Caenorhabditis elegans: one gene and its partner. The protein of the gene in region 2 interacts with the protein of the main gene of each other region in a pairwise test. Each region holds a gene or a part of one and is shown on either strand. Other genes may lie near its edges.

Evidence for each region. The genes of interacting proteins can lie anywhere in the genome.
Region 1: the proteins of daf-4 (region 2) and abu-14 interact in a two-hybrid assay, tested with the Caenorhabditis elegans proteins (one study listed by BioGRID).

The regions. Positions count from the first base shown.
Region 1 is NC_003280.10:9,224,685-9,229,142, forward strand, and holds abu-14 (Activated in Blocked Unfolded protein response), read right to left. Parts: upstream 2,531-4,458; 5' UTR 2,474-2,530; coding exon 2,384-2,473; intron 1,804-2,383; coding exon 1,006-1,803; intron 962-1,005; coding exon 728-961; 3' UTR 502-727; downstream 1-501. Other genes in the region: ZK1067.3 (uncharacterized protein), read left to right, coding at 355-405.
Region 2 is NC_003281.10:5,623,217-5,631,148, reverse strand, and holds the start of daf-4 (Cell surface receptor daf-4), read right to left. Parts: upstream 6,008-7,932; coding exon 5,867-6,007; intron 5,787-5,866; coding exon 5,655-5,786; intron 5,287-5,654; coding exon 5,164-5,286; intron 4,543-5,163; coding exon 4,435-4,542; intron 4,386-4,434; coding exon 4,277-4,385; intron 4,206-4,276; exon of another isoform or gene 2,943-4,205; intron 2,654-2,942; coding exon 2,591-2,653; intron 2,481-2,590; coding exon 2,335-2,480; intron 2,288-2,334; coding exon 2,180-2,287; intron 1,689-2,179; coding exon 1,303-1,688; coding exon of another isoform or gene 1,278-1,302; exon of another isoform or gene 1,051-1,277; intron 692-1,050; coding exon 1-691. UniProt on the Caenorhabditis elegans protein: Involved in a TGF-beta pathway. May be a receptor for TGF-beta-like ligand daf-7. Controls the decision of whether or not larvae enter a developmentally arrested state, known as dauer, in response to environmental conditions.

The sequences.
Region 1 (4,458 bases), on a different chromosome or scaffold from region 2:
AATTTTCATTCATTAATTGAAAAATTCTTTAGTGTTTGATTCGATACTTTGTCATTTTTTCAGAAAGTTTTCCGAAAAAAAAGAGTTGAAACTAATGCTACATTACTCATTTCTAGGCTAATTTTGAAATTTCGACGACTTTTTTTTGGGTGACAATTAAAAAAGATCAAGGAAAAAATCAAGAGAAACCAATGAATAAAAAACGCGAAAATTTTGAAACTTCTGTCGAAAATTCGAATTTGTTTCAGTAACTTCGTTTATATTTGCAAAATTCGGAATAAAATCAATAATAAATTTAGAAAAACTGTTAATTTGGATACATTTGTTTTTCTTCTTTTTAAATTTTTTTTTCAGCGTCGCTCAACCCTTCGTCGCTCAGCTCGAGGACTATTCAAACAGGACTAAACAATACAATTTATTATATGATGATTGATTACTGTGAATATATGTGATTTTTTATTTTATGTTTTGCCGAATGAAAACATTTCTTGTATAATTCTTAAATTAGAATAATTTATTGTCGAAACTCAAGGACAATGAAACATCATGAAAAAGAAGGGAACAATAATAAAATAATTAGACACCTCACATGGCTACCACTTATTTACAGACAATGTCATAATAAAAGTTATGTGAGAAGTGGGATGGGGAAACGAAAACAGAAGTTGTCGCATAGAAAACGCGGATACGGTAAGAATTCGTTCATAGAATTCAGGGAAGGGGATGCTTAACGACGACGGCAGCATGATCCACCGCATTGAGAATATCCAGATGAGCATCCACATCCAGAAGAGCTCGATTGGCATGGAACAACGATTTGAGCGGCTTGTTGACAGGTATTCTGGCAGGTTTGTTGGCAAATTGGCTGGCATTGAAGAACGGTAGCCGATGATTGGCAAGTGTTCATGCAGGAAGATTGACATTGATTCTGGCAGTTGTCTTGTTGTTGGAGGACAATGACCTGTAATATTGATTCATGAATTAATGGAAAATCAATATTATTACCTGTTGTTGGTTGCAGCTGTTTCCGGAGCAAGAGTTCGAGCACTGGGATTGACATTGAGAGTTGCACTGTTGGACACAGATTGGAGTTGGGCAGGCAGACTGGCACTGGTTGGAGCACGAGTTGGAGCATGAGTCTCCTTGTTGAGCGACGATGACGATTGGAGCCTGGTTGGATGTGCAGCTAGACGAGCAGGATGGCATGCATTGTGGCTGGCAGGTTGGCTGGCAGGCCTGTTGGCAGGAGGATTGGCAGGACTGAATGCAGATTGGGGTGCTGCAGGAGCTGGAGCACTGGTTGTTACAGTTGGATGAGCATGAGTTGTCCTGTTGAACAACGATGATTTGCTGATTGTTGTTGTTTCCTCCACAGGCTGGAGCACAAGCAGATTGGCAGTTGCATGTTGGGCAAGTCTGTTGGCAGGAAGACTGGCATGATCCACATTGGTTCTGTTGTGGTTGGAGAACGACAATTTGTGGAGCAGAGTTTCCGCAAGAGCTGGAGCATTGGTTGTTGCAGGATTGAGCACAGATTGGGGTGGCACAGGAGCTGATGCATTGTTGTTGGCATTGGTTGCAGTTGTTGGTTTGTGGAAGAAGGATGACTTGGTTGTTTCCTCCGCACTGTTGGTTACAAGCTGGCTGACATTGTTGGATGCATTGGGATGTTTGGCATGAGCTCTGGCACTGTTGCAGACAAACTGGGATGCATTGCACGTTGTTGTTGTTTCCGCAGCATGAGTTGGAGTTGGATGAACAGCACTGTCTCTTGGCACGCGACAACGCCAATCCGGTCTCGTTCTGCAGTTATTTAGGGCTCTTTTGTTTGACCGTAAGGAAAGACAGTGTGCTTAGATTTTTGCGCGCACACTCTGGGGGGCAATCGCGGAGAGAATCTTCATGCGCCCTTTGTTTACACTATCATTTTTCCTGTTTTTATCGGAGGGGAAAGAGCAGGAGAAGAAGCCAGCTGACCCCTTGAAATGACCACTTCACTTTGTATTAGTGAGGTCTCAAGGAATGGCCAATGACGGGAATAAATGAAATAAGAGTCTAGACAGTCATAAGGAAGCATCATAGTTAAAATTGAAAAGTTATTTAAACAAATGATTGCTGAAATTTGGATCCTGATGTACTAGACGCTATGCTTCAATTGGGCATGATCAATAAGATCATGATCATAACCAGCTTGTTCCTAAAGCCTATTCATTATTCCTATTCATGCACATTGTGCATTCAATACCCACATCCGCGCCGTGTCCTAATGGTTAGGTACACAGAAAACACGAAAATAATAGTGAGCATAAAAGAGGGAAAGTATGACTGAATGCTTAAATAAATGTTCAAAAGTACAAAAGTAGTATTTAAAAAAGAAATTTACCTTGACAGTCTCTTCGTCAGCGAAGACGAAGGTACTGGAGAGGGCCAGAACGGCGATAAGAAGAATCGAAGCTGCTCTGCGGGCTGCCATTGAAACAAAAATGTGGGGAATAATGAGTTGGGTAAAAGAAGGAGAAGGACTAGAACTCGAAGGCTCTGTATTCTGTCCAGATGGCACTGCGTACCTTTTATATAGCGGCGGGAGATGGGTGGGGGTAATGGGGAGGAAGGCGCCGGCGGTCGGTCGGTCGCGGCACACTTCGACTCCGCCCCGCGCGGAGCCAGGAGTGCTTAAGCGTTCGAAACAACTCCTTGAATCGGAGGATTGAGGGAGAGTCCAGTACCCTCAAGAGATCTCATCTTTTTGCCTGGAGATAGTGATTGAGACAATGAGGACTAGACGAAAAACATTTCATAATTCATACTCGGAAACCGGAGGTCCTCAAAGCCTTGAAGGGTACTGTAGTTTTGAAATAACCTGTATGACTTGAAGCTTGTATACTTTAGAACTATTCACCAAATGAGTGGATTATTTGTTCAGCTTTGGTAAATTATATAGCTACCAGTAAATTTTCGGAGTAAACCAAAGAATATGATAACGCAACTTGGTAGTTTTTTGAAGCGCATGCTGAAATAAAAATGGTCACACAGCGAAAAATAATTTAATTATCTTTCTTGATTTGTGATTTTAAAAGTTTTTACCACGACTGCTCTAATTTGACGACTCATATCTCGACTGTCATGAGTTATATCAAAAAATGTTCTACTATTGATATATAGATAAACATTTTACACGCATTTGGTTTGTTGACAATTTTTTGATAAAACCAAAGAGAACCGAGATATAAGCTTTCAATGTAAAGCAAAGACAATTCAAAAAACGCTGCTAAAATTGTTTATTTTTCAAAATCTTTCAGTACCTGGAAATATTAAAATCGGTACAATACTTGGATTTTTTAACGTTTTAGATGCACATAATTTATTATGTGTGTGACTTCCTTTTTCAATTTTTCTAAATAAAATTCCATGACCAATGCTTCTAGTTTCCAAATGTTCCGGACACTCTTAGCTTAGATATCAAAAATCTCTGCTTATCACTAAATACAGTATGCTCTCAATGCTCATTTGCTCTCTTCTTCTACCCGCATACTTTTTCATTCTCCTTATGCCCTTTGTAGGAATGTCGTCCCTGCTGACCCCCTCTCGCGAGCAATCATCATCCATAAATAGCAGCAACCGCACTGATTATCTTGTTTAGTTCAAGTTGCGCAATTTTTCGCTTCAAGTATTTCGAACATCTATAAAAAGATGCTCGGAGAAGACTGCTTACATAAAAACACATGTTTGTCGCTTTTCGTATCTCCAAATCTAGCCTGTTCTTTATCTCTTGATCTCCCCTACTTCACAGTGAATAAAAACATTTTTCATTCACATTCTTCATGAACCTGATGAAAAGTTGGTCAACTAAAACTCACACAATTGAAGTATTTGCTTACTTTTCGTATTGAATTTAATGGTCACTTTACCAATGCAATGCAGCTGGTTGCCATGTGAATTCAATTGTGACGTGGAACACGTGGAAAACAACTAGAAACTCCGAGAGGACCGGATTTCTGGGTCAGACATTGATGAGTCATACGGAATCACATCATTTGACAGTTTTAACCGTCTGGAGGCTCCCGGTTGGCAAATAGAAATTTCAATTGAACGCATTTCGTTGTGAGCAGCAATGTATGTAGTTTCTTGTTTTTGACGAGAGCTTATCACGTACAAATTCAGACTACGGTAAAATATTTTCGAAGAGGTACGCATCAATTGTATGTTACACAATCTAGTACCAATTTTTCCTGTTTATGTTTCAGGGCTCGTCGAAGTTGTCAGTAGTAGTAGATATACTTGAACCAATTATGATATCAACTTCCCTACTCATAAATCATGTCAATTTGATATTATTATGTGTACTATAGCTCCCTGCAATATACCTCGGTATTTGCCGGTTAATTTCTGCCTAATTTCGAATAAAAACAATGTACAACTTCTCTTCTAGTTGCACCTTTACAGAAATTCTCAAATGAT
Region 2 (7,932 bases):
GATCACAGGAATCGGCGGAGGTGGTGGACACGAATCAAAAAACGGATTCGGACTAGGATGTTGTCTCTTGCTGGGTGACGACGCATGATAATGTTGCATTTCTTCGATACCCTCCGGCTTCTCACTTTGTTCAACATCATCAACACCCCGATTCTTCATACTACTTCCACTGTGATACCCCTCCGAACTGTCCGGTGAGCTCATAATATGATTCCATACCCTCGCGAACGCACATCCAGCTGTAATCCGTGCACACGCTTCGGGATCCCACATCTCTTCCGTAACCTTTTTTAGCAGACTCATATATTCATGTTTAATAATCTCATCTCTCCATTGTGGTCGTTCCTTCTTGCTCACCACATAATTTCTCATGAGACCAATTGTGGGATCAAATCCGATGACTTGAAACGGCATTTGGTAGTTTGGTGGCTCGTCGGTTTGGTGCAACTTGGTACGGGATATGACTTCCCACATGACGAGTCCCATCGAATAAACGTCCATCGCTTTGAAAGCAGTTGGCGTGAATTCGGTTGCTCCTTCGAGCATCTCTGGTGACATGTAGCGTTTCGTTCCCACTTGACCCAGCAAATCGCTTTGCTCAATGTCATAGCTGTAGATTCGGGCGAGGCCAAAGTCCGCGATGCATGTGGTCATGTCGCTTTTCACAAGAATGTTCTTCGACTTGATATCTCTGCAAAAAATTGGTTATTGAATTGAATAAGTACAGACATTAGAAACAGTTTGGAGCATACACTAACCAGCGTCGTGCGTCGTTGAAACTCGCTACCTGCTCTTAAAAGGTAACGTAGTGTTACTGGGAGCATTGGTTAGAATCTCTCCGATAGTAAACCGAATATCATAATAACACTTTGTACACAATTTTCCCGCGAAATTTATATTCTGATTATGTTCTAATTAACTCTAGATACTTTAGGTGTTCCAATGTACAAAATTGTTTGAATTTTTATTTTTTTTCTAAACCCTAACTTTTCGAAACTTCAACTGAAAATTGTCATGCGCCTAAAAATTGGTTTTTTTTTTTCAATATTTTACCCTATCATTTTGGACTCTATCGTGTGTATTTCAAAAAATATTTACTGGAAATTGCAGCCGACAACTTGTAGGTCCACGCTACTATTAATTGATCCTGAAAATGTCGGCTGCTCAAGCGCAACTTAGCAACTTCTTCCGATTTTTTCTAGGACCAACCTAGAGTAAAGTTCTGAGCATTAAAACTAGTTGGAGGGCGATCACAAGTCAGATCCATTAAAAATTTTCTAATTATTTTCATTTTCCACTAACCTGTGAATAATTGGCTTCTTTGGGTGTCCAAAGAAGTACGGCCTGTCGTCATGCAAGAATTGAAGCCCATCGATCATTGACATAATAATTCGATTGGCAGATGTAATACTAATTACATTATTCTTGAGTAACTCATAGAGACTAAGTCGCTCATGAAATTCGGTCACAATCCAATACTCATCACCAATTTTCTCGGCGCACACAAATTCGACGATACTTTTATACCACTTCGGGTACTCGTTAAGCTCATCAAAGATTCTTTTCTCCGCCAAAAAGCTCGCTTTTTGGAATTCGTTCAATTTCTTCACCGCAACCAATCGTTTCTCACCACTGTCTGGGGTGTATTGCGCCTTGAAAACTTTTCCAAAACGTCCCTTTGAGATTAACTGCAATAAACGAACAAATGTCATTGAGTGTAAGTGTGACGTCAATCAGCTCATGAAAAGAGCCTTCTGTTGTTTTCAACATTTTTTCTCAAAGATAAAGAAAAAGTAAGGAAAAGCTCAGAGTTCACAAAGTAGTGGACATCAAAAGTTTACACCGTGAGGTCGAACTTCCGAGCAAAATATCAAAAAGACGAACTATTATGAAGACGCGAAATATGTGAATTTTGAAATCAAAGTGCAAATGCGCTCCAATGCCAAATGAAAACGTTCCCCGACACTGTTAAAAAACCATAAATTCAAATGTTTTCAGAATTGTTCGTTGTTTTTAAGTTATGTTAACAATTGTTTTTGATAATTTTTAAAAAATTCATGTAAAGCTGAAAAGTTTCACCAATATGGTTTTTTTTTCAAAATTCAAATGTTGTATTCTAGATTTAGAGAGCATGTTTCAATATAAAATATCAAGCACGACTCTTGCGGTACCTACATACCTGAAAATCAGTGATCGGCAGCTCCTTTGGTGTCTCCACCATTTCAATCATTTCCTCTTCCGGCTCCACGAGAGGCACATTTCCAGCTTCCAGTGCGTCAGTTTTTTCCTGAAAATTTCGAAAATTGATTCGATTTCAAAAAAGACAAAACTCGCCATGTCAAATTTAATTTTCTGCTGCTTTTTTATCTCCTCCTTCTTATTCTGCTGAAATTTCCAACCAACGTATGCCAAGATCAAGAGTGCAATACAAAGGATCACTGACAGTGCGATTATGATGATCCAGTAGAATGGGAACTTGTCTGCAAATTCGCTCCATTGAGAAACTGACAAGAGTGGGGGATGTGTGGTAGAGGGTGTTTAGCACCTAGTTAGTACCCAGCTAGCCCCGAGACGTAGATGCAGACAGTACCTAGAGATTCCAAATCCATGTTGGATGGAGTTGAAGCCCACAGAAGTGCAGAATTATCCGAATCTGAAATTTTATCGGCTCTAAATAGGTGATTTCAAAATGTGTACATGTTTTTATTTGTATGTGTGTGTGTGTGTACAGGCATCTTCCACGGGTGCAAATTATTACGAAAAAGCGTTTGTTTCACTTTGCAACGACACTCCGCTCACTGGAGGGGAGGAGCCAAATAACAGCAGAGTGTCGTTGCGAATCGCCTCTAGAAACAGAAAGAACAAAAGAAAGTTGAAATAAAAAAGTGGTTTACTTGCAAAGCCACAAGAACAAACATAAAATTGCATGAATGGTGTGTGTGTGTATGTGTGAGGGGTAAGAGAAAATTAGGAGACAATCTGGAGAGGTCCACGTGCATTTTTTTCGGAGAAAATTAGGAAAGGGAAGAGAAATTGGGAACAAGGTTTATGACAACTGCAGGCTTTTACAGAGGTGGATTCTTTCAGGTTGAGGGTACACGGGGAAAGGTTGGGAGGAGTATAGCTAAAGTAATGGGAAGTTCTCCATATTTTTCTTAATTTCCGATTGACTTCCACCGGAAATTTGTTCAGCTTTGGCGCAAAATATTGTCTCAGGGCTAGCTGAACTATCTTTCAATGTTTGCCAAGCTCTCTCGAGCTTTCTTCTCAACCTCTGCTCGGTTATCCTTCTCTCTCATTGTCTCAACTTCAAATTTTATCATAAACGCGTCATAAGGTTGTCGCAGTTTGGACGAACGTTTGCTGAGATCCGTAGAGACCATTCAAAATTTTCTAATGGGGTTATTCAAGTAATGTAGCAAAATGCATTTAAATACATTTGTGACGTCACAAATGTATTTAAATACATGTTTTTATCTACTTGAATAAGGTTGTGACGTAATTTTTCTACACTTTTTAATTTTCCGACACTACTTGAATAACCCCATAACCTCTCTCCAACTTTTTTTTTCAACGCTCATAAATTAGTTGAAGATTCGTCGCAGCTTCCGTCTTCCATCTGGCCCGCTCCTCAACTCCTACTCTCGTCTTTCACTTGTCGAAAGCTTGACTCAGATTGATCACACTTCGCGTCACTTTCCCTATTACTGTGGCCGAGCTCAAACCAAACATCGCCAAACTCTCTCGAACTTTCGCCTGAACGCTTCTACATTAGGACATATTGCAATTTGGTGCTTCTCATTTGCTCGCAACGTTTGCCAACTTCCGTCCACTATCTCCCTACACTCGTCGTTAGTTTGCCACATTTTTGTCTAACTTCCTGGGAATTTTCTCGAATGTGCTCCAACTCTGTCGTATTTTAGTTGATGGGAGGCAACCTCCGTATGATGAACCGTATTTCGAAAAAATAACTAGGCACAGACACGCGTGGTTGTTCAACTTTCGTGAAAATTCTGCTAACTTAAAGCTAAATGTTTCACAGAAAACCTCTCATTTCAATGCCAACAATTTCTCCCTAGCCTCTAGCCCCAACGCTCACCCGAAAGAAGGTTATTTAAACAGAAAGTGGGACAGAAAGAAGGTAAAAAAGGTAAAAAGAAGGAGGTGATATATATGTATATTCACAAAAACAGAATCATTGCGTGTTGCTCTAGTATACTAAGAATGGGGTTAAACATGGGATATAGTGCTCTCTTAATATAATGTGCTCACTGACCCTTCTTCAATGACGGGTTGACCATCTCGATGAGATCCGGCATGTTGCAATTGTTGGTCGAACAGCAGCACATTCCAATTCCGCCGCGAAATGATCGTCCTTGGCGACACTGAAATTCCAGTTTTATGAGGTGCTCCGAATGCTGAAATATAACTTACGGAGCTTTCGTTCTCGCAGTTCATCGAGTCCGCGTGCTGATACGGCATACATCCCAGACTTTTGTATTGCGGTTTATCAACTTTCAGGTATGGTTCTGTAGAGTTTATCTGGAAATTTTAAGATTTTTGATGTTTATAATATGGATGCATATATCTATTATTATCCCCTTTACTCAATTAATCATCTTTTGAAACATGGGCAGCTAAATCCGGATTAGTTGGTTTGCACATTTTTAATGGATTCGATCAAAATTGGATTGATAAACTCAACAACTTTTAAGTTTGGTTTGAAGAGCTTTGTAGCAAAGGAATAATAAAGCCTTGATCATTAACTTTTTCCGCAGTATTTTTTTCAATTTGAATCAAGTTCCACGTTTAAATCCTATGTCGCTCAGTAAATTTTCAAAGTCGTCTTCAAAAAGGCCAAAACCTTGCTCATATGTATTTGTTTTCGATAAAACTAATGCAATTCTGATTTTAATTTTGATATTCAAATTCCATCCTACAAAACTATCAAAAATCACGAGTCATGTCACCCCAATTTGTTCCAGCTGACAAAGTCATAAGCCAGAATGGAAAAAAAAATGCAAAAGATACAAATACTTCCGCGGATGAAGAGGAAGAAGATGTCACTCATGAATAACAAATGAAACAATATATATAAAGGGCCCCCGTCATGTGACACAGTTCGGTCTGGGGGTGGCCGCCAAAAACCTCTTCCACACTAACCTCTTGCGTGGGCAGCCCAAATACGGCCAAGCATCCGACGGCTTTCAGATGAGCTTCACTGTAACACGTCTTCTTTGTGATTTCACAATCGCCACTCTTTTCGCATTCCATCTCGTCGTAGTACTGCAAAATTTTAAAGTTTAACGTTTTTACTACTGCTTTAATTTTGGGGAAGAGAGCCTATAATTATGGAATAGTGATAACACTTGAAAAACAAAAGGAGTTGTAGTTATTGTAGCTTGCGGGTTTGAACTTATCCCTTTTAGAATATCTTGGTACTTTAAAGTAACTATAGTTAATTGAAACAAGGATCAGTGGAATGTGGGTGGATTGGCTCTGCGACCTCTACAAGGGGAACAGGGCTCACTGGAATTAAAGTGTATTTGATCCAGTAATTTTTAAACAAACGGGAGAGTCACTGATTTCTGATCCCCAAAACGTCAACACTATCTAATGAGCCTAAATTCCATCAAATTGATCCAAAAACTTACTACACATTCAATCGAAATCACTTCATCCTCCTCATTGTCCATTCTCCTTAACGTGGGCTTCGCTGGTGCCGAGACCTTAATAGTGCCAGTTCCATTTGACTGTGCTACTTTGCTGACTAGGGTGTTAGCCCACTGAAAGATGGTTAAACCAAGGAGATAGAATAAAATAAAGAAGTTTACGACAAAAACACATTTTCTCAAAAAATGCTCACCTCTTTCTCGGCGGCTTCCGATTCGATTCGGTCCTGACGATCGTCTTCCGTGACTGCAACAGGAACCGGTGTGGCAATTAAAAAGAGTGGAAGGCAAATGAGCACAAGTGCCTTGAGACGTACTGTCCCTTTCTGATTCATCTGAAAATTGAAGGTAGTTGAATTATTGTAACGTTTTTTTTAAAGTTGAGGAGTAAAATAAATAAATAATTAAGATCAAATGTTTTATTGAGAAAAATAGATGCAAACTTATTTAAATAAAAAAAATAGGTCAACAAATTCAACTTGAGAAAAAATAAATAAAATTTCAAAAATTCGAAAATTCGAAAATTTCGATAAAATTAAATAAAATTGCCAGCTTTGCTAAAATTTCCAGCTAAAATTTTAAAAATTTAGTTTTGATGAAAATTAAATTTCTTAATTTCAAATAAAAGCAATCGAAATTTCGGATAAAAAAATTTCGAATTTCGACATTCGAAATTTCCAATTTTTTTAACAAAAAACTTTTCATTTTTTTAAAATAAAATGTTTGAATTTTACTTCGATGCACCATGAGAGTTCAAAACTTTCAACTAAAAAATGTCAACCAAATTTTTCAAAAATTCCGTAAAAATAGGAATAAATTGCACAATCTCCATCAAACGAAAGATGTGAAAAGTGTTAAGGAAGCACAAAAAGTTTGCAAAAAAAATGAAGTGAGAAGCACACATCAGAAATGAAGAGAGAAAAGAGAAAAAGAACGAGGAAACAGCAAAGATTGGTACACTCTTATCACTTTTACAAACTCTACTCTCTACTTTTTGTTTCAAATAAAAAAAGGTTTTCATTCAATGTTCTCTAATAAACAACAACAAAAAATCAAATGACGTGACAATCTGACCTACAAGAACCTTACAAGAGGGGCTCGCTGTCCTCTTGTGCTCTTTTTCTCATCGGAGGGGGCTAAAGTTGGGCGGGGCCCAAACAGAATGAAGGCGGGATCTTCCGGGGTCTATAGAACGGGAACTTTGAGAAAAATATAGTATCGATGAACACCTGCACCTTATAGGAAATGGGCGAAGTTCGGACTAACTGGACTTTCCATATTTCGGTTCCCAAAATACACTAGCAATTCGAGGAAAAATTAAATAATGTGCTATACACATGTAATGTAACCAAAAAAAGTTTCTCAGGATTATATTTCGTGCGTGGTACCAGGAAAACGTATGTTTTTTTCAGCAGAACGGAATTGGAGTAGGCGTGGGCTCGGCTAAAAGTCTAAAATGAGATTTAGGCTTGGGCTTAGGCTTAGGTGTTCGTCCAAGTTTGGGCTAGATGTCGGGCGCTAAGTTTCAATAAGTTTTCTGTAAAACGTACGAAAATAGAAAGTACCACTCAACGTCATCCTTTCCTTCTTCTTATTCAAAAACATGTCACCATTCGTTATTTCAGGTGAATTTATACTTTTCCTCCTGCCTCAAGCCTCCCCGTCACATTGAATCAAGCGACTTAAGTGGGAGAAGAGAATGTCAAAACGAATATTTTTTGAACATTTTTCATATATTTTTTGTGTTTACCTTGACAACAACAAAGCACTCGCTTTTTTCTGGGTATTATTCACTCGTTCTATTTTTGCAGCAAAAGCCGAAAAAGAAAAGGGGGAAAAAGAGCGTGAAACTCGGCGAAATTCACATGTGACCACGGTGGGTTTGTTGTTGTTGCAGAAGAAGGAGGAGAGGGTAGCAGCAGGCGTGTAAGACCAAAGCTCTCTTATGTTAGATGAAGAAGAAGAAGAAGGAAAAGAGCAAAATAGTAGGAACCTGAAGGCCTCGGAATACCTGAAGGAACCATCGAGTTCAAAGTAAGAGGTCGAAGAACAAGCAATATTGCTCACGATGAGTACACGACGGTTTTGAAAATTATATGAAAAGAGATAATTGTCAAGAAAAAAAATAAATTATTCGAATTTCAATTATTAAAAAATACATACTACCTAATTCGGCGGGAACTAAACTTATGTTTACTTTTTCAAATTTTTCCGTATAACTAGATCAAATTCAAAACATTAGTTCAAGTACTCCTCGTGA